Linked DNA regions of Callithrix jacchus. The protein of the gene in region 3 purifies or fractionates together with the protein of the main gene of each other region. This does not show direct contact. Links are inferred from orthologs where the notes say so. Each region holds a gene or a part of one and is shown on either strand. Other genes may lie near its edges.

What was found.
Region 1: the proteins of CDK16 (region 3) and CCNYL1 purify together in Homo sapiens (affinity purification with mass spectrometry; 4 studies listed by BioGRID and IntAct, counting the BioPlex papers as one, with this or other methods). This does not show direct contact. The link is inferred for Callithrix jacchus from reciprocal best matches to the Homo sapiens genes CDK16 and CCNYL1.
Region 2: the proteins of CDK16 (region 3) and CCNY purify together in Homo sapiens (affinity purification with mass spectrometry; 3 studies listed by BioGRID and IntAct, counting the BioPlex papers as one, with this or other methods). This does not show direct contact. The link is inferred for Callithrix jacchus from reciprocal best matches to the Homo sapiens genes CDK16 and CCNY.

The regions. Positions count from the first base shown.
Region 1 is NC_133507.1:129,212,586-129,222,880, reverse strand, and holds part of CCNYL1 (cyclin-Y-like protein 1), read right to left. Parts: intron 8,513-10,295; coding exon 8,346-8,512; intron 4,711-8,345; coding exon 4,548-4,710; intron 1,858-4,547; coding exon 1,747-1,857; 3' UTR 1-1,746. UniProt on the Homo sapiens protein: Key regulator of Wnt signaling implicated in various biological processes including male fertility, embryonic neurogenesis and cortex development. Activates the cyclin-dependent kinase CDK16, and promotes sperm maturation.
Region 2 is NC_133508.1:34,931,373-34,942,236, reverse strand, and holds the start of CCNY (cyclin-Y), read right to left. Parts: upstream 5,711-10,864; 5' UTR 5,527-5,710; coding exon 5,373-5,526; intron 4,187-5,372; exon of another isoform or gene 1,320-4,186; coding exon of another isoform or gene 1,295-1,319; intron 1-1,294. Other genes in the region: uncharacterized protein LOC103794173, read left to right, coding at 5,711-6,343, 6,488-6,631. UniProt on the Homo sapiens protein: Positive regulatory subunit of the cyclin-dependent kinases CDK14/PFTK1 and CDK16.
Region 3 is NC_133524.1:48,178,926-48,189,220, reverse strand, and holds the start of CDK16 (cyclin-dependent kinase 16), read right to left. Parts: upstream 9,410-10,295; 5' UTR 9,014-9,409; intron 5,855-9,013; 5' UTR 5,041-5,854; coding exon 4,828-5,040; intron 4,587-4,827; coding exon 4,376-4,586; intron 3,763-4,375; coding exon 3,629-3,762; intron 3,528-3,628; coding exon 3,402-3,527; intron 3,312-3,401; coding exon 3,255-3,311; intron 3,158-3,254; coding exon 3,043-3,157; intron 2,390-3,042; coding exon 2,295-2,389; intron 2,197-2,294; coding exon 2,134-2,196; intron 1,883-2,133; coding exon 1,759-1,882; intron 1,576-1,758; coding exon 1,455-1,575; intron 1,347-1,454; coding exon 1,249-1,346; intron 1,165-1,248; coding exon 1,059-1,164; intron 978-1,058; coding exon 935-977; intron 786-934; coding exon 695-785; intron 1-694. UniProt on the Homo sapiens protein: Protein kinase that plays a role in vesicle-mediated transport processes and exocytosis. Regulates GH1 release by brain neurons. Phosphorylates NSF, and thereby regulates NSF oligomerization. Required for normal spermatogenesis.

The DNA.
Region 1 (10,295 bases), on a different chromosome or scaffold from region 3:
ATAAAAGGTATTCCAAAAGTTTAGTGTAATTCTAAGCTTTGATACTTGTAAAAGTATAAACGCTACAAACCTTTACAAAACCTTGTTTGGTTTCCTTTTTTTTTCTTTTGAGACAGGGTCTGGATGTCACCCAGGCTGGAGGGCAGGGGCATGATCATGGCCCATGCAATCTTGACCTCCTGTGCTCAAGTGATCCTCTCACCTCAGCCTCCAGAGTAGCTGGGACTATAGACACATGCCACCATATCCAGCTAATTATTTTTATTATTTGTTTTACAGAGAGGGTTTGACTATGTTGCCTAGACTAGTCTTGAATTCTCATGCTCAAGCAATCCTCCCACCTCAGCCTCCCATGTACTGAGATCATAGGCATGAATCACTATGCCCAACCCATTTCTTTTGCATTTTTTTTTTTTAAGACATGGCGTCTTGCTATGACGTCCAGGTTGGAGTGTAGTAGCTATTCCTATAGTCACCATCATGGTACACTGCAGCCTTCAATACTTGACTTCAAGCAATCCTTTAACCCCAGCCTTCCAAGAAGCTGGGACTATAGGCATGCACCACACCCAGCTTCATTTTGCAAATTTTGAATATAAAGCTTTTAATTTTTTCTTTCAGTCAGTATCTGCTATATTCAAGAGTGACTGAATCAAAAAATTAAAAGCTTAATATTCAGGAGACAAGTGCCGGGTATGCCTATAGTCCCAGCTACTCATGTGGCTGAGGCTAGAAGGTAGCTTGAGGTCAGGAAGTTCTAGGCTGCAGTGCATTATGATTGCACCTGTGAACAGGCATTCACTCCAGCCTGGCGACACAGTAAGACCCCCATCTCTTAAAAACTTTAAAACACTTTCAAACGATGTCTTTTAAAGGTTTATAGCATTTATACTCATGCTGCAGTGCCTTGGAGGGCCCAAACTATATTAAAGCTTAAAACTGCTTTACATTTTTTTCATTGTCACTGAACCACCATGTTGGTTGGCATTATGAAAATATCTTTTAATACATTTATTTAACAAGAGAAAAATTATCGAAAAATGAGAAGCACCATTTATAGTTCACAAGAAATGCAACATGGACCCCAAGAGAAGTAGATATCAGTAACTGATACTTCCTGTTTATGACCCCAAACATGCTAAAATGTTAAAGTAATGTTTGCAAAGAATATGAATGACAAATGTTATCCAGCAGCTTTTTGGTTTAAAATGATTGCCAATGACTAGCAGCTTCAGTGGTAACAGTAGGGAGGAAGAACACTTCAATACCTAACAATGCTGCAGTCCGCTCCTTAGTGGCTTTAGAGTCCCATGTTTCAATGGTAATACTGCATTGATTTTAAAGGCATATGCAGTAAAAGGGAGGAGAGGGAGAAAAACTGGAAGAAACATAAAAATTATATGGTTAGTGTCTTTAAAGTCTAAAAATTTAAACTATTGTTTAAAAAAAACCTTACATAGTTCACAGCTATTGGCCCACACAGTAAGCAAATATCTGTGTGTGGGATGGGAGCCTTCACTTTGGAGTGGTTTTTGTAACTCTGTTTACATTAAAAAGGACAAAAGAGTGTTTTGTTGCATTGACAAGGTCCCATTCTTTCCTATGGAGTATAATCCTTGTTGTCCATGTGTCTCCTGAATTCAATGATGAAAACACTAATTTTGCTGGTTCTTGAGCAGGAAAGGTGTTATTCTTCAGTCTTTGTAGATGAAGGTCCTGTGATGTTATAACCCCTCATTTCTCCCTTTAAGAGAGGATGGCTTTAGAGCGCTGAATACCAATGAAGTTATCAGCGCTGAAAGACCTTCTCATAGCGGCTCTACACAAGTCTTTGTCTTCACACAATCTAGAAATAGCCTAGGAAAGTCAATCAGATAGAAAACAGGTACAATTTTAAAAAGGGTTCCCACCTTTAAAAAGGCACCATTGATGAAAGCCACACATGTGGACTCCTTTAGATAGTTCACAGTTACAGCTACTTGAGCTGTTTTACACTGCCAGGTTCTGGGGATGCTACTTTCTGCCAATTCACCAAGGTAATATCCCTTAAGGGCTATGATTACATTGCCAGAGAACAAAAGGGAATTTATTAAGTTATTAAAAAATTACATTCCCAAAGATGTCAAAGATACTGTGATAGGCTCCGAACAGCAATAGCATCTGTTACCTGTGCACTTACTCCTTAACTATAACGAGCATACACTTGTGCAAAAAAATTTTATTCAGCTATTCAAATCTACCCAATCCTTATTAGCTATTATATATACTCAAAGTAAATTTTAATGAGGCAGGTGTGCACTGGACTATACAGGAACATATGAGGTCAAACGACTGAAGCACAAAAAGGTGCTACTTCACTTGCACGTTAATTATGGTAGAAATAGGTATTATTCTTTTTTTCTCTCTTGAAATGGAGTTTTGCTCTTATTGCCCAGGCTGGAGTGCAATGGCGTGATCTCAGCTCACCGCAACGTTTACCTCCCGGGTTCAAGCGATTCTCCAGCCTGTCTCCCGAGTAGCTGGGATTACAGGCATGTGCCACCATGCCCAACTCATTTTTTATATTTTTAGTAGAGACGGAGTTTCACCATGTTGGCCAGCTGGTCTCGAACTCCTGACTTCAGTGATCCACCTCCTAAAGTGCTGGGATTACAGACGTGAGCCACCTCACCCAGCGGAGAAATACATATCATTCTAAAGTACTACCAAGGTACCACGGAAAGTATCAGTTTAAAATATGTGTTCATTTCAGTCGTAATTCTGCTGTATACTCACTAGGCCATAAATATTACTTTGCCCCATAAAAGTTACCATTTCTGGATGGGCACAGTGGCTCATGCCTGTAATCCCAGCACTTTGGAAGGCTGAGGTGAAACCCTGTCTTTACTAAAAATACAAAAATTATCTGGGTGTGATGGCAGGTGCCCAGCTACTCAGGAGGCTGAGGCATGAGAATTGCTTGAACCCAGGAGGAGAGGCTGTGGTGAGCCAAGATCATGCCACTGAACTCCAGTCTGGGCAATAGGGTGAGACCCTGTCTCAAAAATGAAAACAAAAAACAAAAACAAAAAAGCAAATACTGGATTGTAGAAGTACATGGGTTTTTATTTTTTATTTAATTTTTGAGATGGAGTCCTAGTCTGTCACCCAGGCTGGAGTGCAGTGGCACAATCTCAGCTCACCGCAACTTCTACCTCCTGCGTTCAAGCGATTCTCCTGTCTTAGCCTCCTGAGTAGCTGGGATTACAGTTGCCTGCCACCATACCCATCTAATTTTTGTATTTTTTTTTAGTTGAGATGGGGTTTCACCAAGTTTGCCAGGCTGGTCTCGAACTCCAGACCTCAAGTGATCTGCCCGCCTTGGCCTCCCTAAGTGCTGGGATTACAGGCGTGAGCCACAGCGCCCGGCCCTTACATCCAGTATTTGAAACACCTGCACCCTATATAGTGAAGGGTATAGGTCTCTTGGCTTAGCCACTAATCCTCTGTCTAAAAAACTTACGGGACTGCAATGTGATATATAAACAATGACATGAATTTGCTAACAGAATAAATAATTAAAAGTCAGGAGTGGCAAGTGAATTATGTCAAGATAAAATTAGGAATACAGTCACAAAGAAATTTTTTTTGAGATAGTCTCATTCCGTCACCCAGGCTAGAGTATAGTGGCATGATCTCAGCCCACTGCAACCTCTGCCTCCCAGTTTCAAGCAACACTCATGCCTCAGCCTCCCAAGTAGCTGGGATTACAGGCATGTGCCACCATGCCCAGCTAATTTTTTTTTTTTTTTTTTTAAGATGGAGTTTCGCTCTTGTTACCCAGGCTGGAGTGCAATGGCTTGATCTCGGCTCACTGCAACCTCCGCCTCCTGAGTTCAAGCAATTCTACCTCAGCCGCCTGAGTAGCTGGGACTACAGGTGCCTGCCACCATGCCCAGCTAATTTTTGTATTTTTAGTAGAGACGGAATTTCACCTTGTTGACCAGGATGGTCTTGATCTCTTGACCTCATGATCCACTCTCCTTGGCCTCCCAAAGTGCTGGGATTATAGGCAAGAGCCACCGTGCCTGGCCCTTTTTTTTTTTTTTTTTTTTTTCGTATTTTTAGTAGAGATGGGGTCTCACCATGTTGGCCAGTGGCTAGTCTTGAACTTCTGACCTCAAGTGATCTGCCCACCTCAGCCTCCCAAAGTGCTGGGATTACAGGCATGAGCCACTGCACCCAGCTAAAAAAAATTATTCATGTATGATTATGTGAAAGAATACAAGTTCAAAAGGAAACCCATTAAGAACAGATTAAATTTGATTGAAAATATTCGGAATTATGGTCACAGAAGAGGCAGTATGTATAATTTTAAAATAATGTTGATCCTCGTATAAACCATAAAAGACACAGGAAATCTGATGCCAAATGGCTAATAAGCTCTTCAGTGTGCTAGTTGATTTTAAAGCTTTCCATTTTCCTAATCACTACTTAATATGATTTAGTCACAGATGTTGGCTTTGGTGGCTGATGGAAAACCCCACTTAGTGACTTCACAGACTTACCTCTAGGTTCTGTGCTCTTTCTTTGCTAAGAGGAGCAAATAGAAAATTCAGGTTGTTGTCATCTGCTAAGGAGCGAAGGTCAAAGTAGTATTTGGCATAAACACTGGCAGGAACATTAATATTAAACTGAAGAAGCTCCAAAAAATGCCTTTCCATTTCATTCCTGGAGGAGGAAGAACAGAACAGAACAATGTTAGTCAACTGGGCGCTCTTCAAAAATATCTCGTAGTTTAGAGCTACAAGAATGGCTCTAAACTCTGTTTTAAAATATAGGTTACCCAGATGCATTAACATACTAATGTTCACACAAGGTACAGTTACTTGTGGTTCCTTCTGCATCCCAGCACTCTGGGATTGGGATGAGGGTTGAAGGTTAAGGCCTCTGATGCACTTGTGCTGCTGACTCGGGCCTCATTCTTCAGAGTTCCATTAGTGCAGCTGTACAATTCATACTTCATGCTCACTCACAAGGCCCCACTATAGTGATCAGATGAAAGGAATGATGTATGCTGTTTATTAGCTCTGAAGAACTTGCAGACATTTTCACCGGGCTGATAACAGGAAGGGGCTTATTGAAGTAGAGAAGCACCAACAAAAGGAGTGGGCACATCACCACGGCAACAAATGGATCCATCGAGAGCCACTGCTATTATCTCTGAGGGGGAAAAACTCTTGAGGCAACAAGGATTCATCTCAAATAAATAAAATAAGCAAGCCACATTACAGGGGAAGGGAATCCTCTCCTCCTGTTCCAGTGCATGAGGCTATGTCAAAGGGCATAATGAAAGTTTCTGCTCACTTTAATATTATGAAGGTGAGAAATTGTCACTATGACAGGGTAAGGATCCTCTCCATCTTTTGGAAGGCAGAAGGATCAAAGGTGGATGTCTCAGCCAGACTAAACCCATTTTGATATGACTTCTGGTAGGTCACTGGATTTATAAACTCAGGCATTTCTTCTGAGTTGGGAATGAAACCCTAAGGTGCTTGTAGTCCTCAGCCACATGACCACAGAGCTGCCCTTGCCAAACGCTTAAGCAAATAAACATAAAACCAGAGAAAATCTTAACCACTTTGACAGTAACTCTTTTTTTTTTTGAGACGGAGTTTCACTCTTGTTACCCAGGCTGGAGTGCAATGGTGAGATCTCAGCTCACCACAACCTCTGCCTCCTGGGTTCAGGCAATTCTCCTGCCTCAGCCTCCTGAGTAGCTGGGATTACAGGCACGCGCCACCATGCCCAGCTAATTTTTTGTATTTTTAGTAGAGACAGGGTTTCACCATGTTGACCAGGATGGTCTCGATCTCTTGACCTCGTGATTTACCTGCCTCGGCCTCCCAAAGTGCTGGGATTACAGGCGTGAGCCACCGCACCCGGCCCACAGTAACTCTTTTATACAGTTAACTGTATTAAAATGATAAATACCTGAACAACATATTTGGTTTCTTGGTTTTAAAATTTTAATATTTTATCCACTGGCTAGGTCAACAAATGCTTGATGAGCCCCTGTATGGAGGGCAGTTAGAATATGAGCAGAGATGTGGTTTTCTCATTTGCTGAGCTTAAAAACCCAACTGAACCTAATTCCAAAATTAATTTCCTGTTCATACGTCCGAAAGTCTATAGAAATGTAAATCAGATAATGTTTTGATAATCAGCTAATCAGGACTTAATTTACTACAGTAATAAATGCACTTCACAATCCCTTTTATATTTTTTCCACTAATACATTTTAACTGTGTAGAAATATAGTACTTCATAGGATTAACACATGTATTAATAGGGGTTTAATCACTGAAGAAAAGCATTATGCCCATAGAATATGCATCTTCTAGGCTTTTTGTTGTTTTTTAAATGGCTAGATGGCTGAATAGCATACCCTTTACAGGCACAGCAAACCATCTGAATAGCAGCTGCTCAGTTTAACTTATTCTGTTAAAGGGAAATATATTCTAACATGACATGTAGATTTGAAAAAGTTTAAGAAAAACCTGAAAGGCACCAATATAAAATTTTTAAATTTAGACTCAAAATGAGACCACTACAAATAGTCAACAGCAGGGGGATGACATTTGTTTAATATATAAATGTTTATTAAACCGTTTGTTGAAATGCTTTGCAAAGATCATAAACAAAAGTAGAGTGTTAGTAGCAGAGCTCCTGGTGCTTCCCTGGGCATACACAAATAGCACTAGTCTTTGGAACTGGTCTTTTTGGAGCTGGCCCCTGCCACTGATGCTCCTGGAGCTCACATCTGTAGAAACCTGCACATTTCCCTGTGTGTTCTCTGATCTTGGGTTTAGAACTAGAGTCCCAGCCAGTTCGGTCGCAGATTTTGAGAACATTTTAGCTGCCATCATGGTATGGCTAAGTGTTCATAATTATAAATTTTGCTTCCTTCAAGAAACTAGTTTGCAGACTGATGACAGCAGTGATCGAAGTCACTTTAGCTTCTGCAACTTCCAAAAGTACTTACATTTGTTTCAAAGTTACTTGCTGTCATATCCTTTGCTAAAACGGCTACCAGCAATATCACCACAGCTGTTTGGTTTACATCATTAGTAAAGTGGTTAACTTCACCAAAAGCCACTTCAACAGCTACCACAATTACTGGTTCCTTTTTAGTCACAAGTCTCCTCACTTCAGTTGTGAGTATATGGTATGCTAATTCTGAATGACAGTCATATGGAGTAATGGCAAAGGCAATAAAAACAAGCTCTTGCCACTGCCTGTCTTGACCTCGATCTTCCTCTGCTGCTCAACATGAAATCAAGACGTGCTCCTTCACATTGTTCTGAATGCCACCCACAAAGCCATTCTCACTATCCAGTGAGTACCCTGAGAGTCTTTGCTGGAAATGCCTCCCTGGCTTACGCTGCCTACCAAGCTCCAAGGCCCTTCCCTTCACAGCAGTCATGAGGCCAGACTGGAAGGAAGCCCTGATGAAGCCGCTCTTTCAGGGTCATGTTGGTGCCATCTGTGAGGAACTCCATGACTCAGCATGACTTCTTACACTCTCATAGGTAACTCAAGGCCCCCAAAGTGGTGCTGTGGTTGTCCGAGTGCCCAGGGAGCCTCTCAAGTGTGGTGAGCATTGGGTGATGCCCCAGCAGTGCTTCTCAGATTGCCTGAGGGGAACACCGGAGCTTCATCAATCATCAGACCAATTTCAAAACACATGAAACACTCCTAATGGGGAGGGAGTCAGGGCCACAGGGATCTTCATATCTCAAGGCTTTTATAAAAAGACCTTCAGATAAAATGTGGAAAAAGACTAGCAAAAGCAAATATACAATGTGTGACTCAGGTTGAAGCTATAACTTCTCAACAGTCCAGAGGCCCTATGACCTTAAGAGTGGCCAATTATTTCAAAGGCCAGACATATGCCCTTTAGGGGCTGTTTATACCCCACTGGTCACATGAAAAAAAAGAAAAAGAAAGAAAAGATAAATAAATAAATGAAAAAGAAAGGAGCTTGAACTGGCAGATAACTTTTTAAAAGCCATAAAGATATTTACTGTACTATGTTGTTCTGGTAGTACACTTGTAAGATGTTTGCCAAAAACCACCAGAAAAAGACTTTTCAATTTATCAAGCAGATTATTACACAACAAAACCTATCAATTAATGATGAAAAATGTGAAGCTGGGTTTTTCTGAGACAGATTCTTGCTCTGTTGTGAACTGTTATATTAAGCTAGACAAAGTCTTATGCCTATTTCCGTTATCTGTATAACCTTTAAAAATATTCCTTAAAGTGTTAACTTTAGAAAGTTCACCAAAACCTTACAAACTCACATGTCCTCAACTGTAATGTCCTTGAGGATCTGGCAATAGTCCACGTTCCACACAGCCTGATCATCCCAAACCTTGGAGGCAAGAAGAATGGCTCCCAGAACAATCCTTTTCCAATTAGTGGGACAGATGTCGATTTCAGCATAAGTTAAGAGCCTTTCTAAATAAACCTGTAAAATAGAGCACTGGTCTTTGATTTCAGTTCAGTTTAAATGCTTTGATAAGAATTCTTACGAATGACAGATTTATTCTGTTTTTGACCAGAAAATAAGTGCCTTTTATTATGTTCTTCAGCGACTTTGCTTAGTTGGCCAAAGCAAGACACCAAATCACAGTTGTAGGTCAGGTATCTCTGCTGCCTGCTTTGCCCATCTACATTTCCAACCCAATTTTGGTTACAGGAATGATTGAACATCTCGGCAAAAGGCATCATAAAGAGAGGTACTCTCAGCGTATCATACCTAGATGGTAGATAGTTTTACAGGTAGTTATGTTATGCTCGAACATATAAAACCCAAGTAATACTGAGCACATGTTTACCTTCTCCTTTTCACAATAACTAACCCTTTCGTGGCACTAGCTTGAAGAACCGCTGGTCAAGAGAGCCACCCAGTGGCTGTTGTGCAAAGCAGCATGACAGGCGCAGGTCTTTGAGGCTGTAAAATAATCACCGTAGTGTCTCCACAAGAAACACTTGTACATGGAAAAAAGGATGTCTCTGGACCCCCTGGTATTCCTCTAAACCTGCCAAGCAGTTTATGAGACAATTGCATGAATTATTTTACATCTACCAAACATCCTTCAAAGAACTGAGCAAAGCAAACAGCTGAGAAAAGATTATAGAGGTAAGCTGCGATCTGCCGTTACCTCAAAGGGCTCTCTGCAGAAGAGTATGTCTACATGCTATTTGATCTCTTTATCAAGACAAAAGTAATTTTTTTTTTTTTTGAGATGGAATATTGCTGTCACCCAGGCTGGAGTGCAGTGGTGCAATCTTGGCTCACTGCAACCTGTGCCTCCTGGGTTCAAGCGATTCTTCTGCCTCAGCCTCTCGAATAGCTGGGCACCCACCAGCACACCTGGCTAAATTTTGTATTTTCAGTAGAGAAGCATTTCACCATGTTGGCCAGCAACAGGCCTGGAGCGGTGGGCTCATGCCTATAATCCCAGCACTTTGGGAGGCCGAGGCAGGCAGATCACTTGAGGCCAGGAGTTCAAGACCAGCCTGGCCAACATGGTGAAGTCCTGTCTCTACTAAAAAATACAAAATTAGCCAGGCATGGTGACACATGCCTGTAATCCCAGCTACTCGGGACACTGAGGTAGGAGAATTGCTTGAACCTGGGAGGTGGAGGTTGCAGTGAGCCAAGATCACACCATTGCACTCCAGCCTGGGCAACAAGAGCAAAACTCCATCTCAAAAACAAACAAACAAAGGTTCATTTTAAGAGTTTATTTATTGTCTGAAGGTTATCAGATAGTCGGCTCAGATCTGGCAGTGTTCTCCAAACTCAACTCTGTTTTCAAAAACGTGTATTGAACATGACATGTTCTTAAGAGAGATTCGGTTCCCTTTCCCCCAAATTCTGCACTCTCAGTATCCTAAGACTGAACCTCCTTCACAAGGTTCAACTCTCAATGGGAATAATGAGATAGCAGTGAAACAACACAATCCCTCAACTTCCTGTTGCCTTTACTGGTAAGATGATGATGTGCTGATGCTCACTGATACCATTTGCCCTTGTGCGTCAGTGTGAAAGTTCTTTTCTTCCCACTAAAGCCAACTCTATCAGTGCAGTTGATCCCATCCCACTTCTGCAGAACACTATTCCCACAATTGGATCTTTTTGAAGGCTTTTGCCTTCTCTGCCAGATTTTCCCCAATGTGTTTCCTTTGTTCCCCCCCGGATGTGTCCTCTCATTTGCTCTAAGCATCATGCCCTGGTGTCAGCT
Region 2 (10,864 bases), on a different chromosome or scaffold from region 3:
TAACTAACACAAAGTCGCGTGCTTGGTCAGAGTGTCTCCACACATCTTGCAGGCAGTGTGGCTGATAAGTCTTAGCCTGGAAAGAAAGTCCATAGGTACGTTCTGCCCACCAGGGCTGGTAATGTTAATGTGGGACCAAGATTCAAGAAAGAGTGCTGCAGAGGTGTGTTAAATAGACTGCAGACACCCGAGGAAGCCAAGAGCAATGCTGCAAGCTCATCCTACAGGAGGCACTTAGATTCTACATTTCCCGTGTCCCCACCCTTCTAATGGCAAGTGTACTTTTGCTGGTTATCCCTCCACTGCTTGGGATGAGTCCCTGAGGCTTCTAGTTTCTCTGGCTGTGGAGTCCAAACACCATGTAAGACACTTCACATGTCAGACAAGAAAACCAATATAAGTGACTACGTTCATCATTGCAGATGTTCATCTAGTACTTTTTGGTTAACTAAGCATTTGAGTCTCAACTTGATCCCGAAGGATGTAAGGCCACAGCTAAAGTCATTCATTGAAAGAAACAAGGGAAAAAGATTAAACACAGCACATTATTAAACAGATCCCCATTAGCCAGGGTTTCCTGTCGGCCTGGCTGTGTTTTCTCTTGTTATGCTTTAAAACGTTTACGTTTCATTTCAGGACTTCGCCCTATCTGCTACCTCTCAGGTTAACCTACAAACAAAGACAAAAAGATTCACATCCATGCTGCTTTCATTATTACAAGTCCTCTTCATTGTCTCCTTGCCTCCTGTTTCCCCTCACCCAATAAACACACTTGATGATGTTCTCACTCACGTCCTTCAGTGGTTGGTTTCACCCAACAAATTCATTCAACAAATACAGTATTTTCAAGGAATCAGGTGCTACTCTAGGAACTTGGGTTACATCAGTGAACCAAACAATAAATGTTCTATTGGAACTTACATAGCAGGTGAAGGTAGCTATTAGATATGTTTACACTTATATAGTATATCATGAGGTGACAGGGAATAAAGAAACAGGAGTCAGGGAATGTGCACTGGGATTGCCAGTGGGCAGCAGGAAGGATGTTTAAAGGGGGTGATTGGAAACGCCTCCCTGAAAAGGTGAGGCTTGAACCAAGGCTGCAGGCGATAAAGGGACTCAGCCAAGACGGCACATGGAGAACAGAGGAAGAGAACAGGGGTGGAAGTTGGTATCTGGCACGTTCCAGGAAGAGCAGGGAGGGAGACCAATGTGGCTGGAATGAGCAAGCGACAGAGTGAGCTGATGGCAGGCAGATCACAAGGGGTCCTGGAAACCACTGTAAGGCTTTTACTTGTGCAATGAGAAGTTGCTGCCATTTTTGAGTGAAAGAATAAGAAGTTAACGCTTTTTAAAGGATCTCTGCCATGGCTGTTGTGTTGAGAACAGACTGGAGCAGGCGAGGGTAGAAGTAGGGAGACCAGGTGGGCTGGGAGAGACAGCAGCTGCTTAGATCTTCAGAAGAGCAGCAACAGAGGTGTTGAGAGTGGTCAGCGACTGGATATATTCCGAGGACCCAGGGCCACACCTTCCTAGCAGAAAGGATACAGGACGAGGGAGAAATGAGTTGTCAAGGATAACAGGTAAGCCATCAGAATGAAAAGAATGAAGTTGCCATCAACCATTTTGAAGTAAAACCCTACCAGGACACTATGGCACAGCTGTTACAAGTGTCCTGATTTATCTGGTCTCCTCACATTTTAAATTCTCTTTAGACCCTCCCTCCCTTTTTCCTCCCACAGAAATAATCTAATCATGGAAGTGTGGACTGAATAACTGTTGCAGACAGAAGAGTTTCTCTTTGATAAAGTATGGATACGAAATGACAACAGACACCCTATCCCAGAAGGCAACCGCAGACTAGCTAATGTTTGATGGCTAAGTCAAGCAACAATGGGAAGTTCCCATTTGCCACGTATTGACGTGTGACTCTGGACAAGTCATTTCTCCTCTCTCCTCTCATTTCTTTGTTTTAAAGTAAGGATAATATTACCCATAGAGTTACTGTGAGTTCTAAGTGAATGAACAGAATTCAAGTACTCAGAGCGACAGCTGGTGGCAGCTGGTACAGGGTAAGTAATATATAGGTTGCAAGTGGCTGGGCGTGGTGGCTCAAGCCTGTAATCCCAGCACTTTGGGAGACCGAGGCGGGTGGATCACGAGGTCAAGAGATCGAGACCATCCTGGTCAACATGGTGAAACCCTGTCTCTACTAAAAATGCAAAAAAAATTAGCTGGGCACGGTGGTGTGTGCCTGTAATCCCAGCTACTCTGGAGGCTGAGGCAGGAGAATTGCCTGAACCCAGGAGGCGGAGGTTGCGTTGAGCAGAGGTTGTGCCATTGCACTCCAGCCTGGGTAACAAGAGCGAAACTCCGTCTCAAAAAAAAAGAAAAAAAAAAAAAAAAAATATATATATATATATATATATATATATATGTTTCAATTATTATTATCATTTTTTTCCTAAAGAATTGTTCTGAAAATTACTAACATTATTGTTATGTATTGTTGTTTTTTCTTAATCTCTGAATGATATTATAAGAAATAATACCTGGGGAGCATGAGTCTAATATCAATTTCAAAAATAGGAATAACCTAACACTAATATACACTGAGAACAAAGACACATTAACTTGACAGTAAGCACCATAGACACCTAAGTACCCAGACACTAAAATTGCCACTGAAATTCTATAGGACAAATATTACCCCTTCGTGTGTCTGGTGGCAGAGGGGAGAAAACATGGATATATATGTTGTATCTCTGTGATTTAAAGACACTAACCTATTATAGAAGACCCATGAATTTCTCCAAACCTTTCTACATCAGCTGGGTGGTACGTATTTCAGGACATACAGAAGATGGTACTTGTGTACTTCAGCTTTTGATATATTCTAGAATCAATAATTCTTATAGTTTTAAAATGTTTACTAATAACCTAACAATCAATACAACTCAGTTCAAATACATACAGATACACATAGGCAAATACAGACATACGGATGTGTGTATATGTCACATACGTATGTCTATATGTCTATATTTGCCTATCTGTCTCTGTAGGTGTATATATATATACACATCTGTATGTCTATATTTGCCTATCTATATGTATATATATACATACACACATACTATTTAGCTAAAATCTGTTCTCTTCTCTTAACCTCTAATAATGAATTTCTACCAAAAATGTCCCTGAACAGCAGGTAACACTTCCAAGATTTGCCCAGCCAACAATTCTCAACTCTACCTGCATCTCAGAATCACCCTGGAGAGATTTAATTAAATATATTAATGGCAATGTCCAACACTAGATTTCTGGTTTAACTGAAACCAATGTCAATGTCGAGAACTGCCAGCTGGGTCAATGCTAGAAGTATTATTTATTGAATTTGAGAGACAGACAGTTAATTAGTATTTCGGGGTTTAAACTAGCATCATATGAACTGGGATCTGAGATGAGAGGGCACCACCCCACAGCCTAGATTGGAAACCTGCCCTATAGTCTCTCAAACTATCCTGAATCTCCAAAACAGTCTTCCAAATGTTCTCTTGAAAATACCTGATGACTGAAACTTAAGTTTTAGTTGAAATGAAAGAACACTCAATACTATTTCACTGTACTCTGGCAAAATCATACTAAGCCTTAGTGCCAAATACCTGGTTACCATTATTTTTTCCACCTTATGTCCTTACAATAGTTAAAATAACTGTATGCAGCCTGGCTCTAAGAAATGTGAATCTTCTTCCGTTTTTTTTCTTTCTTTTTTTTTTTGATCCATCATTCAAAATAATTTTTGAATTATTTTTTATGCACAACATAAAAAAGAAATTATTTACAAATGTTTTCACCTGTCAACATTGTACAGGACTGAGTAATGGCTTTCTGTAATAAACTCACTCATTTACTCTGCCCTTTAAAATGCAATATTTACTGAATGTTTATTATATGCTAGACTTTTCTTTCAAGTGCTAGAGGCTGTGAAAGTGATTGAGACAGATGGGGTCTTCATCCTTCTAGATGCCTTTAAATGCATAAATTTAAGAAGAAAGTATGGCTGTAGTTCAAAGCCATCTAAAGAGTATGTTAAAAATAATGGAAATCTAAAATAACAACACTAGAAATGTCATATGGAATCATAATTTACTAAGCGCGTACTAAAAACCGGACTGTGTTAGTCCCTTTCTACATGACACTTTTTTAATAAAGATGCTCTCCTAAAAAGATGAAATTACCATTTAGAAAAAATCACACGAAAACAAACGAGATAAATATTTTCTTTAGCAGAGTTTAAATGTGGCCTTTCCACAGTAGAGAGAACACTCCATCCTAAAGACGATAGAAAACAATTACGAAGTTGTGTCCATTCATTGACACAAAAATTTTTCCGTATTAGTTCAACTAGATTAATCATGAGAAGACGTTTCGGTTAAGAAAAATCACGTTGTCATAAAAAGATATTTCCAATCTCAAACCTTTTAAGTTGAAAATTCAGTCAACGATATTTTAAGCTTGATGCTTAATGATATCACTGGGCCACAGGGCTAACAAAACGTTGCCAAACCAATAAAATAAAGCATTACTGGGTGCAGTAATTAATCTTAGCTTTTCTTTTTGCAAACTCCAATCCAACCAAAAGTGTGGACGAAGCCCCGGTTATGAATTCCCAAGTAAATCAGAAATTCACAGGACTGCAATTCGAGTCCAAGCAAAAACTGTGTGACTTAACCCAAAGGTGTCTGACAATCTTTTAAAGAGCATTCTCGGGAGAAGCGATTTGCCTCTAAACCGGGAACCGCCACCCCCCCCAAAAAAAAAACCCTTTTAAAAAAAAAACTTTTTAAAGAGAATGGTAACGGAGGTCAGTCAAGTGGAGTCCACTTGTAAGGTTCCGGGGAACTGACTTAAGTCAACACGGATCTCCAACTCCAGGTTGGAGACACCGGGACTCCAAAACGGGAATCCACTCCCACCGCTTTTGCAAGACAAACCCGTGCACAACTTGGCTTCGGGCTGCATTCAGGCAGTGCCTGTTCCGGGCCGCCCCCGCCCAGCGCTGGCCGCTCCTCTGCGGACGAGGGCCGGCCCCTGTCACCCCCGCGACCTACACGCACACACTCGCCCCCGGCCCGCCGCGCTCCGGTGCCACGGGCCTGCAAAGTTTCCGCGGCCGCTCACTCGGGGATAACCAGCGAGGGGTACGCCCGGAGGCTGGGGGACCCCCGGCGCCTTGGCTGCGCGGACGAAGCCCCGGTTGTGCACGCGTCGCCGAGAGCGGCTGGGCCGGCAAGAGCACGCGGGCCGCCCCTACGCTGGGTGTGCGTCTGCAACCGCGGGGCGCGCAGGGCTCGGCGGGCCGCACTCACCGTCGATGTTCTCCCGGTCGCTGATGTGCTGCAGGTTGCAGCCCGTGTCCTCGCGGCTCAGGTCCGTGTCCGGCCGGTAGGACTCCAGCCGGGAGTGGGCATTCCTCCGGAGCTTGGGGCTGGACGACACGCAGCACGAGGTAGTGTTCCCCATCTTCGGCGGCCCCCGACTCCAGCTGCGGTCCTGTTCTCCCCGACCCCGGGAGCTGGGCGCAGGCAGGCGCGGGGCGCGGGCGGCGGGGGCGTAGGGGGAGTCCCGCCCGCTCGCCGCCGCGGGAGGGGGCAGTAGCCACGGCCGGCCGCCGGGTCAGCAGCGGCGGCGGCGGCGGGGCCTCGCCATGGGCGGCGGCGGCGGCGACGAGCGGGCGGCGGCCCCGGCTCCCCCTCGGCCGGCCTATCCGCGGCGGAGGAGCGCTCGGGTCCGCGCGACTGCGGCCGCAGCGCCTAACTCACCCCGCCGCGGCCATGGCGGGCGGCGCCGCGCAGGCCGCCTCCCCCCGCGCTTCTCAGTCAGCGTCCCCTTCCCCGGCGGCGACGGCGGCGGCGGCCTCGACAAGAGGTTCCGGTTCAAGCCGGGGGCACGCGTGTCCGCGCCAGGCAGCGGGGCGAGCCGACGAGTGGGCAGGCAGCGGGCGTGGAAGCAGCCCCTGAGCCCAGCGCGGCGCGGCACGGCCGGGGAGGATGTTGGCGGCCCTCCCCCTGGCGGCGCGCGCCCCCTCGCCGCATTCCCCGCCCCGCCCCGCCCCGCCCCTTCCCTCTGCCCTGGAAGCAGATCGGCGGCCGAGGGGAGGGCCGGGGCGGCGCGGCCCTATGCGGGTGAGGGGTCGCTACCCGCGGCCGCGCCTCTAGCTGGCGCTGGGGTCGCGGGAATCGTCGGCGGGAGCTCGAAATCTGGAGGCCCTTCCCCGCCGGGCCTCGGCCTCCTCCACTCCCCCGGGCCGGACAGGACGGGGCCTAGCGCGGGATGCGAGGTGCGTCCCCGCGGCCCGCAGCGGGCCGGAGCTCAGCCTAGGCCGGGAGGAGGATCCGGGCCCTGGGCACCGAGGCTGCGCCTGCCTCTCCGAGACCGGGCTGGCTCTTTTTTTTCCTCTTCTTTTTCTAATTTACTTTTTTAGGGAGAAGATTTCGCTCTGTCGCCCAGGCTGGAGGACAGTGGCGCGATCTTGGCTCACTGCAGCCTCGAACTCCTGGGCTCAAGCGATTCTCCTGCCTCAGCCTCCAAAGTAGCTGGGACTATAGGCTCGCGTCACCCCGGCTAAGGTAGGGGGGCGTGTGTATGTGTCTCCACCCACTCCTGGCTAAGGTGGGTGTGTGTGTGTCTCCAACCACACCTGGTTAAGATAGAATGTGTGTGTGTCTGTCTGTCTCCAGCCACGCCCGGCTAAGGTGTGTGTGTGTGTGTGCGTGTGACACAGTGGCTAAGCGATTCTCCCTTGTGTGTGTGAAGGTAGGGTGTGTGTGTATGTGTCTCCGTGTGTCTCCAAAGTAAGTGATTCTCCCTCCTCAGCCTCCAAAGTAGCTGGGACTACAGGCTCGCGTCACCCCGGCTACGGTAGGGGGGCGTGTGTATGTGTCTCCACCCACTCCTGGCTAAGGTGGGTGTGTGTGTGTCTCCAACCACACCTGGTTAAGATAGAATGTGTGTGTGTCTGTCTGTCTCCAGCCACGCCCGGCTAAGGTAGGGGTGTGTGTATGTGTGTGTGTCTCCAAAGTATCTAAGGTAGGGATGTGTGTGTGTGTGTGTTAACTTTTTGTAAGGAAGGCATCTCATAGCCCAGACTGGTACCGATTTCCTGGCTTCAAGTAGTCCTCCCGTCTCTGTCTCCCTTGGGATTACAGGAATGGGCCAAGGTGCGGGCCTTTTTTCTTTTGTTTAGTTATGTATTTGGTAAGCATTTAAAAGAAGCTAGGCCTTGATGTGGGAGTTCTCTCTTCTATTATATTTCGAGCTTTGCCGAGGACTTGAGGATAATCTTGTTTTAAGGCCTGAAATAAATCTTGGGGTCCTAGAGCTATTTTAATGTTGAATTTGCTGTGGAGTGTTTTGAGTTCCTTGGAAGTTAACCTGAGGTAGAGAACTAAGGTAACACAACGCATTGACTGCCCTAGTTTTGCTTTTAGAATGCCATCAGGTTTTGTCGCTTTGGGAACAAGTTAACTTAGGCCAGTTGACTAGGATAAAGGTATGTGAACGAGCCTGGCTCAGAGGAAAGTCCAGTAAATGTTGGTTCGAATCCCACCCAAAGCCCACAATGCCAGCCATCCCTGACTTTTCTTGCCTTTATTGGGAAGGATATAAGGTGCAGAAACAGCCTTCCCACCCTTTTTTCCAAATATGTACTAAAGGAGTCATGAACAGAGGCTGGTAGGGGGCTGGGAATATCTTTGAACTAGTTCTCGGAAAAAAAAAAAAAAAACCAGCACAACTATCTTAATTTTAAATATGAGAAAACTGAGGCCCAGAGAGATGAAATCATGCCTTCTTCAGATCTCAGCACCTGTTAGTGACAAATCCAGGTACTAAAAGGGAAGAGAAGATATAAGGGACTTAGTATTTATCTAGCATCAGCAATGTGTGGCCATCTTGTGAAAGGCTTTATAAACATTTCATTTAATTCTCTGCATCTAGCCATTTTTTAACCTGTGCTTTCCCTCCTTCTCACAGGACTGTTTGTACATTTATTAGTCCATATTTTTATTTTTTAGATTTTTTTTTCTCTTAATTCCTTCAGCATAGTCCAATTTTTAAAAGCTCCATCCTCTCAACTGTGTTAATGCTATTTGTTAGGATAAGTGACAAACGTCCCTGGAAAATAAATGGCTGCAAAGTGGTCATGCTGACCAGATGAGAGAAGAAGTATAAAAGGGAAATTCTGAAGAATGACAGCCCTGGAGAGGGTGGGTAGACAACAACAGTACAAAATAGTGCCCTTCCCTTCCTCCTCCTGCTTCCTGGGAAAACTGATTGGGGCACATTCACAATTGCATGTGTGTATTCAGATTTTCTGTGCTATGAAGGTTGGGTCGGATGGCTGAACCCTTGGGAGAGGAGTTCCCTTGTCTGTTCTGATTGCTGCTTTGTACTTTGGGCCATATATGAAAGTCAGCATCCAGTCAATGAAACATCGGAATGTGGTGTATCTACTCAGGCGCATTAAGCAATTTTTATTTCATTATAAAATGTATAACATTTACATTCAAATTATGGTTTCTGAAGGCCTTAAGAGAAGAAAGAGACAATGACACTAAGGTGACAGCATGGCTGGCTGCATGCTCTCTGTCCGAGCAGGTCGCTGGGCAGTGTTAACTGGAGAGAGCATCTAGAGGACTAGAGATCAGTGTAGCCACGTACCCTCAACAAAGCGTGGTACAGCCTCTGGTCTGCCAGGATTCCCACCCCCCACCACCCCTACCTCCTCTGACATTTCTACCATATTCCCCTTAGGTATGTACCTGCACTTACTGAGGTCAGCAATTCTGGAGAGAAAAGATATGTACTAAAGCCTCGCTAGTGGTTTACCTGGGTGCCGACTCCCTCGATGCACCCCACATGCACACTTCACACTCCTCCAGGCAGATGCTCCCTCCCTGACACACAGTGACACTTTGGGGGAAATTACAGAACAGTAACCAACTATGAACAGAGAAATGTGATGTCAAAATGATACTAATGAGAGATGTCATTTCTTGAAAGCCTGCTAGCTGCCATGCACTGTACTATTTCTAACATCTAAATCTGATAAGTTGTACCCCATTTTATAAATAGACCACTTTAACTTTGGTAAGTAAACCTATGCAAGATCAAAATACTGAGAAATGTCCTAACAGGATTTGAACCTGGTTCTAATTTCAAAGTCCAAGCTACGTCCACCCAAACCTCCTACCTGCCATCTCCAGGACTTTGTGAATGGAAAAGCAAGTGTTACTTCTCTCCTCTTTTTCTGCCCTAAAGAAAGCTGGGAGCTGACTGCTTAGGACTGGTACTAAACTTTAAGAGAGAAAAGGATGAGGGGAGCCTTGTCATTTCTGTGGGGCTCAGCCCTCCAACCAGAGTTAAGAAGATAGGCAACAAGGTTGAGGAATAGCCATATGCAGAAACAACGTGAGTATCTAGCCACAGCATCTCTAATACTGTGTCACTCGGGAATCTGAATGCAGGGACGGTTCCTCAGCAGACTGTGGATCTAGCCCAGAGTGTGGACTAGGGGAGTGGGAAAGGGCAGAGGTATGCACCAAGCACTGTAACAAGGCCTGTCCTCCAGCCTGAGGAGGGTTGGGAGGATGGCTTGAGACTGGGAGCTGGAGGCTGCAGTGAGCTGTGATTGCGCCACTGCACTCCAGCCCAGGTGACAGAGTGAGACCCTGTCTCTAAAAAAAACAAACCAACCTGGATCTCATACCCACCCTGCTCTTTGAGCAGAAGGAATCATTTGAGAATTATTTTGTCTCATCTTCCTCCTTGATCACTGTTGAAGAATTTGGACACTGTAAACAGGTAAACATAAAACTTAGGTGAACTCTAGCTAAGTCGGTACTCTTCACACTTTTTTGGCAATAGTAGCTTTGTTTTTCACAGAAAAAACAAATTTTCTGTGGAACCACACTATTTAAAACATAAGCAGTATTAGTATCAACTTAAATAATTTATAAAAACAATCAAGAATAGGCTACCTTAATTGAATCAGGAGATAATTGCAGTCTTACATCAGCTACACTCATATCCATGAAATATGAGTCAGTCATTTGCACAACTCCCTGAGTCACCTCCTGGAACACAAAGCACTGAGCCAAGTTAGCCCAGGACCTGAACCTGAACCTGAAGGAAAATGTGTATTGTCTCCTTGGGGTATGGCTGCCCTTTCATGTGGTAGTCAGTTCCTCATGTCAGTTACTCAAGCATTTCTAAGGCAGTTGTGGCGTAACCAAGACCTTCTGTGTGTTGTGCTACTGCAGTTCCTCCTGTCACCGACCTCTCCTTCAAATGGGGCCTGCCTTTTGCCTTTGGTGGTAGGCAGTCCACAGTCTAAGCAGCTACTGGGAAAGTATTTACTTTGATAGCACTTGACCTTGATTGAGGCAGGTGACTCATTTATGGATAACATTTTTGAGGATATACTGAGCCAGGCATTTTGAGGATACAAAAGTGGATAAGATACAGTTTCCATTCTGGGGAAACTCACAGTCCAGTAAGGTAAACAATCACAAGAACAAGTTGCCAGCAGTGAGAGTGATTGCAGCCACTGAGTGGTGAAATCTGAGGAATGCCAAGCCTGTTGCCTATAAATATCTACATTTATTGCCTGTGCATATACCTAAAATTCCACCATGAGAAATTTATTTCCATGAAATTAGGAACTACCCAGAAATCCTCTGTCCAAATAAAAATTCCCACCAGAAAATAAGGATGGCTGATAGATTTAACTAGTAGTACCAAGTCTTTTGGACCAGAGGAACTGCCAGGGACAGTGTGTTGAGGAGGATTCTGAGGTCAT
Region 3 (10,295 bases):
AAAAAAATCTTTTATAGGTATATGCTGAAATGAGGGATAAATGTTATGAGTCTGGGATTAGATGTGATTCAAAATAATCAGAGAGAATATAGATAAAACCAGATTGACCACTTATTGACTCGTGGGAGTACTTAGGGACTCATCACATTCTTTTGACCAATATATAAATACATATATTTGAAAATATCCATATTAAAAAGTTCTTAAAAGCCAGATATAAAAAGAGAACATCACATGTGATTCTATTTCTATAAAGTACAAAGACAGAAAAAACTTATCCTTGCTGTTAGAGGTCAAAACAGAGGCCACCCTTTGGGAGGGGGCTGGGAATAACTGAAGGAGATGCAAGGGAGCTGGGGGCGAGGAGCTTCTAACATTCTGTTTCTTGACTTTTGTGCTGGTTATAAGAATGTGTTTCATTTATGAAAATTCATACTTAGGATTTGTGCATTTTTTAGCACATGTAAGGAAATGTCTACTTAAAAAAGGTAAAGTGCTATTACATATATTTTTATGTATGTTTGAAATTTTTCATGAAAGGTAAAAGGAACTGAAAACTAAAAAATGTTATGTGAACAAGATGTCCCCCCACTTAGAGGTGGCACAGCCAGATCCTATGCAACCCACCAGCTGGCCCCAGCAGTCCTGTTTCCCAGTCCCCACACTGGCCGGTCCATTCCCCAGCTCCACTCACTGTCAGGAAGTTTGTGGATCCGCTCCCCCAGACTGAGGAAGAATGGATGTTTCATGGCATCCTCTGCGGAGATCCGATTTCGACCCTCAAACTGAGTTGGGGGGAGGTAGGGGATAGTATTGATATCTTCAATGAGTAGGTCTCCTGCCCACCTCAGATCCTGCCCCTGGTTGCGGGGGAGTCCCTGTTTTCCCATACCTTGAATCCCTTACCCCCAATGCTGGCCCAAGGTGGTCTCACCTGCAGCAGCTTGGTAAGGAGGTCAGCCCCGTCACTATCAAGTCTGCCACAAGGACAAGGAAACCTGCTTTAAAATGAGTTTGGACACCCTGGCCCTTAACATGCATCCACCCACCAGCCTCACCGGGGTGCGTGGCTCAAAAGGGCCTCAGCTCGGTACTTGGGGTAGTTGTAGGTCTTGAACTCCTCATTGGACAGGATGCCTGGCCAAGTCTCCTCAGTTGGGGTTCCTAGTAGGGTAGAGGAGTTACCCAAAACATCTCACAAGTCTTCCCTGTGTGTCTCCACAGTGCCTTGGGCCCATGCCTCCTCACCTAAGATGCGGAAGATGAAATGCAGTTGTTCCTCCACCGTGGAGCCGGGGAAGAGGGGCCGGCCTGTGGCCATCTCATAGAAGATGCAGCCCACACCCCTAAGCAGGGAGGGCATGGTGAAGAGAGAGACAGCTGGCTGGGTGGCTGTTGTGACCAAGCCACCCCCCTTACCACATGGTCCCTGCCACACTTCCACCTGGCCTTACCACATGTCAATCTGAGTGGAGTAGTCTGTGGACCCAAGCAGGATGTCAGGGGGACGGTACCACAGTGTCACCACCTCATTGGAGTACGTCTTTGTTGGGATTGACTTGGCCCGGGCCAGACCTGGGAAGCACAGAAAGGACAGCTAGAATGAGAAGGTCATAGGCCAAGTCTGGGGGAGAGTGCAGTTGGGACCGATGATGTCCTAGGCAAAATCTGGCGAGGCTAAAAGGAAATGACACTAAGTGGTCATGGGAAAGTAGGAAGCTGGGGGGCTGATGAGAAGAAGTGGGAGGCCAGTGGTACCAAAGTCAGCCAGCTTGAGCTCTCCTCTCTCGTTGATGAGCAGGTTCTGGGGCTTGAGGTCTCGGTGTAGCACCTTCTGCCGGTGGCAGTAGGCCAGGCCACGGAGCAGCTGGAACAGGAACAGCTGGGGACCCAGGAATGGCAGGCAGAGGTCAAAGACTATCCACTAGCCCGACCCCCGGCAGGCACTGCTCCCCTCCCAAACACAGATACTGGGCCCAGAGCCTTGTCACACAAAAGAGGACAGGGTCCCAGTGCCCTCCAAGGGCTCCCAGCAAAAAAAGCCAAAGGGAAGAGTCCATTTCTGGGAGATTTGTGGGTTGGAGTGGGTGAGTGGGGGCCCCCTTGTGCCCCTGCTTCCTGCCCCACACCCACTTTCACGTTGTGCATGTTGATGATGTTCCCACAATCATCCAGGTACTGCTTCAGGTCCTTGTCCTGAGGAAAGAAGAGGTGGTACAGAAATGAGGGTTACTTCCTATGGCTCCTGGCCTTCTCCCCACCTCCCCCTGGGACCCACTGCCACTCAACCTTACCAGGTACTCAAAGACAAGGGTGAGGGACTTCTCCGTGTGGATAATGTCATGTAGCGTAACAATGTTGGCGTGTTTGAGGTCCTTGAGCAGAGACACTGCAGGAAGCATGGGAGTGGGACAGGGGAAAGAGTCAGGGTCCTACCCTCAGGACAGAGGTGAGGACAAGGACTAGAAAGGGACAAGCCCAGGTTTTCTTTCTCCAGACAGTTCAGGGTAATGCCTTGGAGCCACCAGCTCTAACCCACCTCATGCCAGAAAGAAGTGTCTCCATGTGCCAGGTGCAGAAAATAAGACTCAGAGGAGAGTATGGAGCAAGACTGGGATTGCAGCTCCAGGCTCATTTGGCACTAGATTTTCACAACCTGCTTTTGGTTTCTGGGAAGGGGCCTGGCTCCAACCCTCAGTACATAGGCCTGCAGCATTGTGTGAAATTGAATTCAAATTCATTCCATGTGATATTCTGACTAGAAATTGTTGCTGTAAATAAATTAGTGACTACTTTCAGGGGTGTTCTCAGAACCAAAGCTAGCAACCTGGTTTGCAATTCATCCACCTTTTATCCAAATGGGAACAGATTCCTGGTTATCCTGATTATTACCTGGATATGCAGGTGACAGGCATTCCCATGAAAGCCAGAGTATTTTTGGGGGGGGGAGGGTCCTAGAACCAGTCTTTGTTCTCATTATGGAGCGTGTGCACCATGGGGTGGGTCAGGGAAGCCTGGGGCAGATGGGATGGGGGTGTGTACCTTCCCGGATGGCGGTGCACGGTGCCCCCTCTTCATGTTCCAGTCTGATCTCCTTGAGCGCCACAAGGTTGTCTGTGAGCTTGCTTTTGCCTTTGTAGACGGTGGCATAGGTACCCTGGAATATAAGGAAGTGTGATAGGAGAGGTGCTATGAGATTCTAGGAGTTCCCACTGACGGTCATCCCCACCATGGGCCTCCAGACTGCCTCTCACCTCGCCCAGCTTGTCCAGCTTAATGTAAGTCTCCAGTTTCCCAAAGCCAATCTCAGACTGTGGGACAAAAGAAGCAGGTTGAAGCAGGCTGAGAAGGGTCTGGGAGAGGAGGAGAAAAAGGAGAGGACAGGAATAGAAGACACTTACCAGGCTGACACGACGGAGGCGGCGGCTGAGTGGCTTGTCAAAGATGGGACTATTGAGGGTCAGCTTCTCAAGGTAGCCCTCAGGTAGCCGGATGTCAGCTGGTAGCGATAGGCGTTTGTTGATGTCCTAGCAGGTAAGGTGAGAGAGAAACAGGATCATGAGCTCCACCTCCCCAGGTCCAACCCTCTTTTCCAGCTCCTTCACCAGCCAGACAGGGCATTACACACCTCAGTGGAGATCTTGCGTGGGGGATGGTTGCGCATGCGCACTCTCACTGGAGACTGCACCTCATCCGAGGATGTGGCTGAAGCCTGGTCACTCTCCCCATCAGACCCCATCTTCAAGTCCTCGTGCACAATCTCTGGTGGCAGGGAGAGGGATAGGGCAGGCCAGATGGCGTCAGGAACCACAGGACACCCCCTTCCCCATGAAACATATTCCATCATCACACATGTGTACACATGGCCCCCAGAGCAAACCTGGAGTCCCTCAGGGAGAGGGTGATGGGGCCCAGGTACATCTAAGGACAGGTTGAACTGGGGGAGGGGGGGTGCAAAAGTCACCTAGTGGAACCCTCTCTTCCAAGGACAAACTGAGCTCAGAGCCAGTAGCTAGGTGGTGGTGGGGATAAGCCAAGGGACCTGGGAAGGCAGGCCCAGGGCAGGTAGGTACCAGAGGCCTGAGGTGGCCACCATAGAGGGCAGAAGGGCAGAGGGAGCCTTGGGGCAGCTGTGTCAGGCAAGGCACCCTCTGCCACCCACCACGGGGCCTGGCCAGAAAGGCAAGGAAAGGATTGCAGATGGACAGATAGACAGAGGGTGTTGAGAGAAGATGGGAGGGAAGGGGAAGAAGAGAGCACACATCGGGCAGAGAAGGGACAGAAAATAGAGAGGAAAATGAGGAATGTGGTCAAGAGGCAGCACCTGGGAAGCAGCCTGGGGTCATACGGGAGAGGGAGTAGCTAGTGGACCCACCTGGTGCAGAGCTGAGTGGGCCCCGTGCAGAGCGAAGTTCCCCAGGAGCAGCACGTGTGGGGGCCTCTCCAGGGTCACTGCCACCACCACCACCACCACTCTCATCCAGGCCTATCTGCTCAGTGGCACCATTGGTCTTGTCTATGTTTCGGCTACCTCGGAGTGTCATTGACAGCTGCCGTTTGATCTTCTTCATCCGATCCATGGCGATCTAAGTAAGGGGCAAGGATGGAAATGGGTCTCGTATTAGCATTTGCTTGATCGCCATGGGTCCCCTTAAGCCCACAACCTAGCAGGGAGCACTGACATGAATTTGTCAGTGCTTACTCAACCACTATGGACCCTCTAGAGCCACTGGGGGTTTCTGGAACCCCGGCATGGTCAGGGATCCTTGTCAATACTTGCCCACCCACACTACCAGCCCCCTGGAACCCTGTTCCTAAGTAGCCCACCTGAATTCTTGTATTTAGGCGGCTGATTGAGGGCAAGGGCTCAAGTAATAGACGGTTGGCCTCTAGGGGACTAGCCTCATTGCAGGAGAAAGCTCCATAGCAGTTCTTCTCTGGTACAGATGCAGTGACGGGGCCAGCCATGGGTCGAACAGGGCGTGGGCCCAGAACTGAGGGATGGTTGACATGGCCTCGAGCACGCCTGTAGTGTAGCATGGTTCCCCTGGCACCACCCCTGAAGGCCAAGGCAGACTATTCCCTGTGCCCACAGGGACCCTCCCCTCCTGACTCCTCTAGCAATCATCGTCATGACAACCACCGCATCATCCCATTGATCTACCCGGGGGGGCGGGGGGGGGGGGATTGTCAGGGTGTTCTGCCCAGACCCAACCACTGAGTGGGGTTATTGGGGGGGTGGGATGTCTCAGTGTACACCAGCTGTTCTCAGGGCTGGCAGAAAAGTTTGATCAGGTTAGGACCCCTAGGGTCTAATCCAGACTTTTACAAGCCAGGTCACATTTCTCCTCTACTCAAGAATGTACTACATTTCTCATCACCCCAAATACATGCCCCAGTCCTCAATGTGGCCCGCAGGTCTTTACCTCATTTGCCCCTATTACCTCTGAACCCCCTTCCCCCCAACATTCCTAGTTGCTGTTCTATAACCACACCCAGCAGAGTCCCACCTCAGGGCCTTTACACTGGTTGTTCCTGGTACCTGGAACACCCTTCCCCTAAATTTCGAAATGGCTCACTCCCCTCTCCCTTCAGGCCATTGCTCAAAAGTCACCTTTTTCATGAGACCTCCATGAATAACCCTATTTAAAATCTCAACCATCCCAAGCTCCCTCACCTTGCCAGTTATCCCCCCAGCACTCATTACCTCCTCAGAAATGATACCACCTACTTATTGGTGGTTTCTTTAGTCTTTACTGTCTATCTCCTCACCGCCACAACTAGAAGATCAGCTCCGCCAGGGTAGGTTTCTGTGTTTAGATCACGGCTATATCCTGAGGACCTGGAATAGTGACTGACACAGAGTAGATGCTCAAAAAGTGCTTATGGCAGAAAAAAGTGAATCAGAGGGCTGAGGGCCTAGGACCAACCTCTGCTAAGGTGTTGAGTCCCTGCTACTCATTGAACAACCCTAAACAGGGTAGCCCAAGGATGCTGGCATCAATAGGAAGATGACCTAGATGGATTGTTGAAGGGAATGGGGCCACCAAAAGGCTTAGGCCAGCCTTCTTCTGCTTCCTCCTGGGCTCTGAGCCAGCAAGGAGGGGGAAAGACCTGGCCCAGGAACCATCTGGACTCACAGCAGGGCCTAAGATGGCCCTGGGCCCAAGGGAAGTAGAGCTAGATAGGAGGTCAAGGATGAGAAGGGCTGGATCTGAGGAGAGAAATGGGTCATGTGCTACCTTGAAATAAGGTGCTTCCCCCAGCAGTTCCCACCCCAACTCCCCTCTGGCTGAATTCACTATCCCCAGGAGGGGTAGGGGCCAGCCTAGCAGAAAGACCTCAGATAGAGATGGGGTCCAACCATGGAGAACCCAGGATAACAACAAAACATCCTGACTTGGGATGCTGAATACTGGACCTAAGGTGAGGAAGGTAAAGCATGGCCAGCTCCCAAAGACAACCTTGTGTCCCCATATGGCACAGATACCCAATTGCTTTGCATGTTGTGACAGGGAGTAGGGGAGGGGCCGGGGGAGACTGGAAGTAGGGCTGAATGGAGGATGGGGAGGGAGCCAGCAGGAGCCATGGGACCACGACCTCTAACTGGAAACCCCAAGGGCTGTACATGCTCTGGAGTTCAGTTTTTTTTGGAATTTTAGGAAGATGGGGTACAAAATCTGTATTTCACATAACAAACACTCCCAGAAAGGGGGATGGGGGGGCTCAGGCAAGCCCCTGTGAACAAAGATACTTGAACGTTTATATGCAAGGAAACTTAAATATCATTTCAGTTGTCTGAGCTTTTTAGATTTCAAAAAAGTGGAGAGAGCAAGAAACTGGACATAAAACCTCACCCCAAAAAGGGCATATGTCCAGCCTGACCCTTCTGATCCCCAAAGACATATACCCATCCTCAGCCTACTCTCATGCTCAAGGATACTCACCACACTGACCACTAAGGACTCGATCATCACACTCTATGTCCTGATCCCCATTAGTACATGCTAGACTCTCAAGGAGGCCTCACTACATCTTACCTGCTATCATCTCATATACCCATCAGCATTCAAAGCCCTAACACACAACATATTGCCCTGAACTCTGCCAGCACACACTCAGCCTCCTCTAAGTAACTCTTGCTACTACATTCTTGGGCCCCTCCCTGGCCTAGCTGCTTGCCAGCTTCTCTGGCTCTTGCCAGTAGCACTGACCCCCCTCGTTAACATATTGTTCCCCCCTACATGATTCTGACTTCTATTAACATGCACTTGGGGTACTCTATAGCTGACCCACATCAGCACTCAGTGGACCTTCTTCACACAGCCCTGAATGCCATTAACATAAAGTAAACCTTATAGATAGACCTCTAACCAGTATTACCCACACTCAGGCCCCTTCACAGCTATGACCATCGCTAACACACATTCCAGTCCTTCCACTGTCCTGTCCCCTCAGTCAGCACAAACTGAGCCTTCACTCAGCCCTGATTCCCATTAGCACACACTGGGCCTCACACAGTCCTGCCTCCACATCAGTGCACCCTGAACCCCTACTCAGCCCTATTCCCCAGGGACACACAAACACACTGTTTTGCCATGGCCTGACCCTCATTAGTGCACATAGGTCTCCATTCAGCCCTGACTCCCATTAGCACACACTTCAGCCCTCCCTAGCTGTAATCCACTTTAGCACAGCGAGATCATCACATATTCCCGTCGTCTATTTCTCTCTGCTCCGACCCCTCCAGATATAATCCCTGTTGGTCCATACTTGGATCCCTTCATGAAAGCCCTGATCTCCCTTATTACACACTAGACTCCCTCCACAGCCCTACCCCCAAGTAGCACTCCCTGGAACCTCAACACACTCTGGTCCCCGGCAGACACAAGGTCCCCTGCAGACACACACAGGCACAATCTTTGCTAGGTTCTGACGCTTATTAGCATATTCCAGACCTCACACTGATTCTCCCGATGGCACACACTGAAGTGCCTCTATGGCTCTAAACCCACATTAGCAACCACCAGAACTTCTTATATTATCCTGCTCCTTCCTAGTGTGCCCTCGAGACTCACATTCCCTGTGTTCATGGACACACATCTCACATCACCTTGACCCTTTGTGCCCTGAGCCTCTGACAGTGCTGACACTTCCCTCCCCACCACCCCTTCCCAGGCCCGCAGACACACAATTCTCATCTCCCTTAGGCCAGGCTCAGGTCTTCCACGTCCTTCCGCCATTAGATACCCTCAGGTCCCTCCTCACTCTGCCCTCATTAGCATATACTGGGCCCCAAACTACCCAGACCTTTGTGGCCACAGGCATACACCCTCTACGGCCATGACCCCCACTGGCGCACACGCCACACTCGAGTCCTTCAACTACCTGCCCTCCACAAGCACACACTGCACTCTCACACACCGCAGGCCCCACGGACAGACACGCAGTATTAACACCATCCTGGCCCTCATCGCCACGTGCCAGGCCTCAGAGCCCTGATCCCATCAGCACACTTTCTGGTACCTGTGCCACCCTGTCTCCCATAAACACACACCGGGCCTCTTTGCGGACATAACCCCTATAAGCATGTCTTGGAACTTCCTCGACATCCTACCCGCCGTTATACACCCTCGGGTCCCTCACCCGCTCCGCACCCCGCCCTCCTTCCGCAAGCACACACCGGGCCTTGAACCTTACACAGTCGTGAGGCTTAATGCCACATGCCCCGACCCCCGTTAGCAACCCCACAGTCTGTCACCCATTTCCACACCCTTTGGTCCTTTGATTCCCCCTGCTCCCCATTAGCACCCACAGCACTTCCCATCCCCAGCTCCCAGGACGGGCCCAGGGCGGAGCCAAGGTCAGGGAGGCCCCAAATGACCCCCCGCCCCGGTGCATTATGGGAAATTCGCCGGGGGTGGGGGCACCTGCCAGCCCAGACCCCCGGGCACCGCCCGGGGTGGGTTCTGAAGGAGGAGGGGCAGCCCCCACGCCTCGGGGACGCGCTCACCGGCGGGGGCGCGCGAGCAACCTCAGAGCCGCGGGGCCGGCGCGGCGGCGCCTGGGGCGGCGGCCCGGGATGAGGCCGCGCGACCTCCTTCTCCTCCTGTTCGCCGCAGGCGCCCGTCCCAGTAGTCTTCGGCCATGGTTGCTGGGCCCGGGCCGCCGCCGGCTGAGGAGGAGGAGGCGGCGGCGGCGGCGGTGGCTGAGGCGGAGGCGGCGTCCCGCTCAGCCGGCCATGAGCTTGGCCGCTGCGGGCTATGCCCCCGGGCTCGTTGGCGCCGGCTCGAATCCGAGCGCTCACGGCGACTCGCGGCTCAGAGCCGGCTGATCGCAGAGTCGCGGCAGATCCCAGGGCCGAACAGCCAACGGCCCAACCGCCGCGCGCGCCGCGCTCCGCGCATGCGCACGCAGGCGCTGGGCAGGGTGAAGTGGAGAGGAGGGGACTCACCTCGGACTGCCTGTACCAAAGGACCCGTCCGCAGCGGGAGGGGACGCGGCCATTGCGAGCCCACTGGGGGATGCGGCGCCGGGCCGGGGACGGCACCAGGGAGAAGTGTGGAGGCTGTTTTGTACTCAGTTCCGATCTTGGCAGAAGTTTGCTAGCGCCAAGGAGAGCAGCGGCCAGTAACCTGGAGTATCAGTCACCACTCGCTCCCCCTACTCGGTCTCATTTGGTATATCCCCATGTTGGCAAACGGGACTTTTGCAGAAAGGAAAAACACAAATGAAGCACTCAGTTCTAGTCCCTTGAGGTGCTTGGGAAGGAAGGAATTTTAAAGGTTCGCGAGAAGACTTTTCGAGGAGAGGCGGCCTGAACAGTTATTGGCCTTTACCACCTTAGCTAGGACAGCCTATCCCCGCCCAACTGCCCCCTCCACCGCTACCTCATTCCCATAGTGAACGTGTGCAGCCCTGCCCTTTGAGGTTGTCGTCCAGCCAATCGGATTTGCTCCCTGTGGCGAGGCTGAGCAAGAATAAAAGGCGTGGCTGACTGAAGAGGCGTGATTTCGCTCTCTACCCCACTCCGCACGCCTCCGCCCGGGTTTCATAGGTTTTCACCGTCGGCGGAGGTGGGGTCTCCTTTTTGTTCTGAGTTTCTCCTTCACTATAGGCCGAATATTCCGCGAGGTGATTGGTCATAATTGAGCTCAATCGGGCCTGGTCCCGCCTTTAGTCCACCTCCCATTTCCTGCAGCGGGCCTCCAGGAGTGGAACCGAGGCTGAAGAGGGAGGAAAGAGGCGGATCCTTAGAGATGCGGGAGCCACTATTGCGCATGCTTGGAACTTCG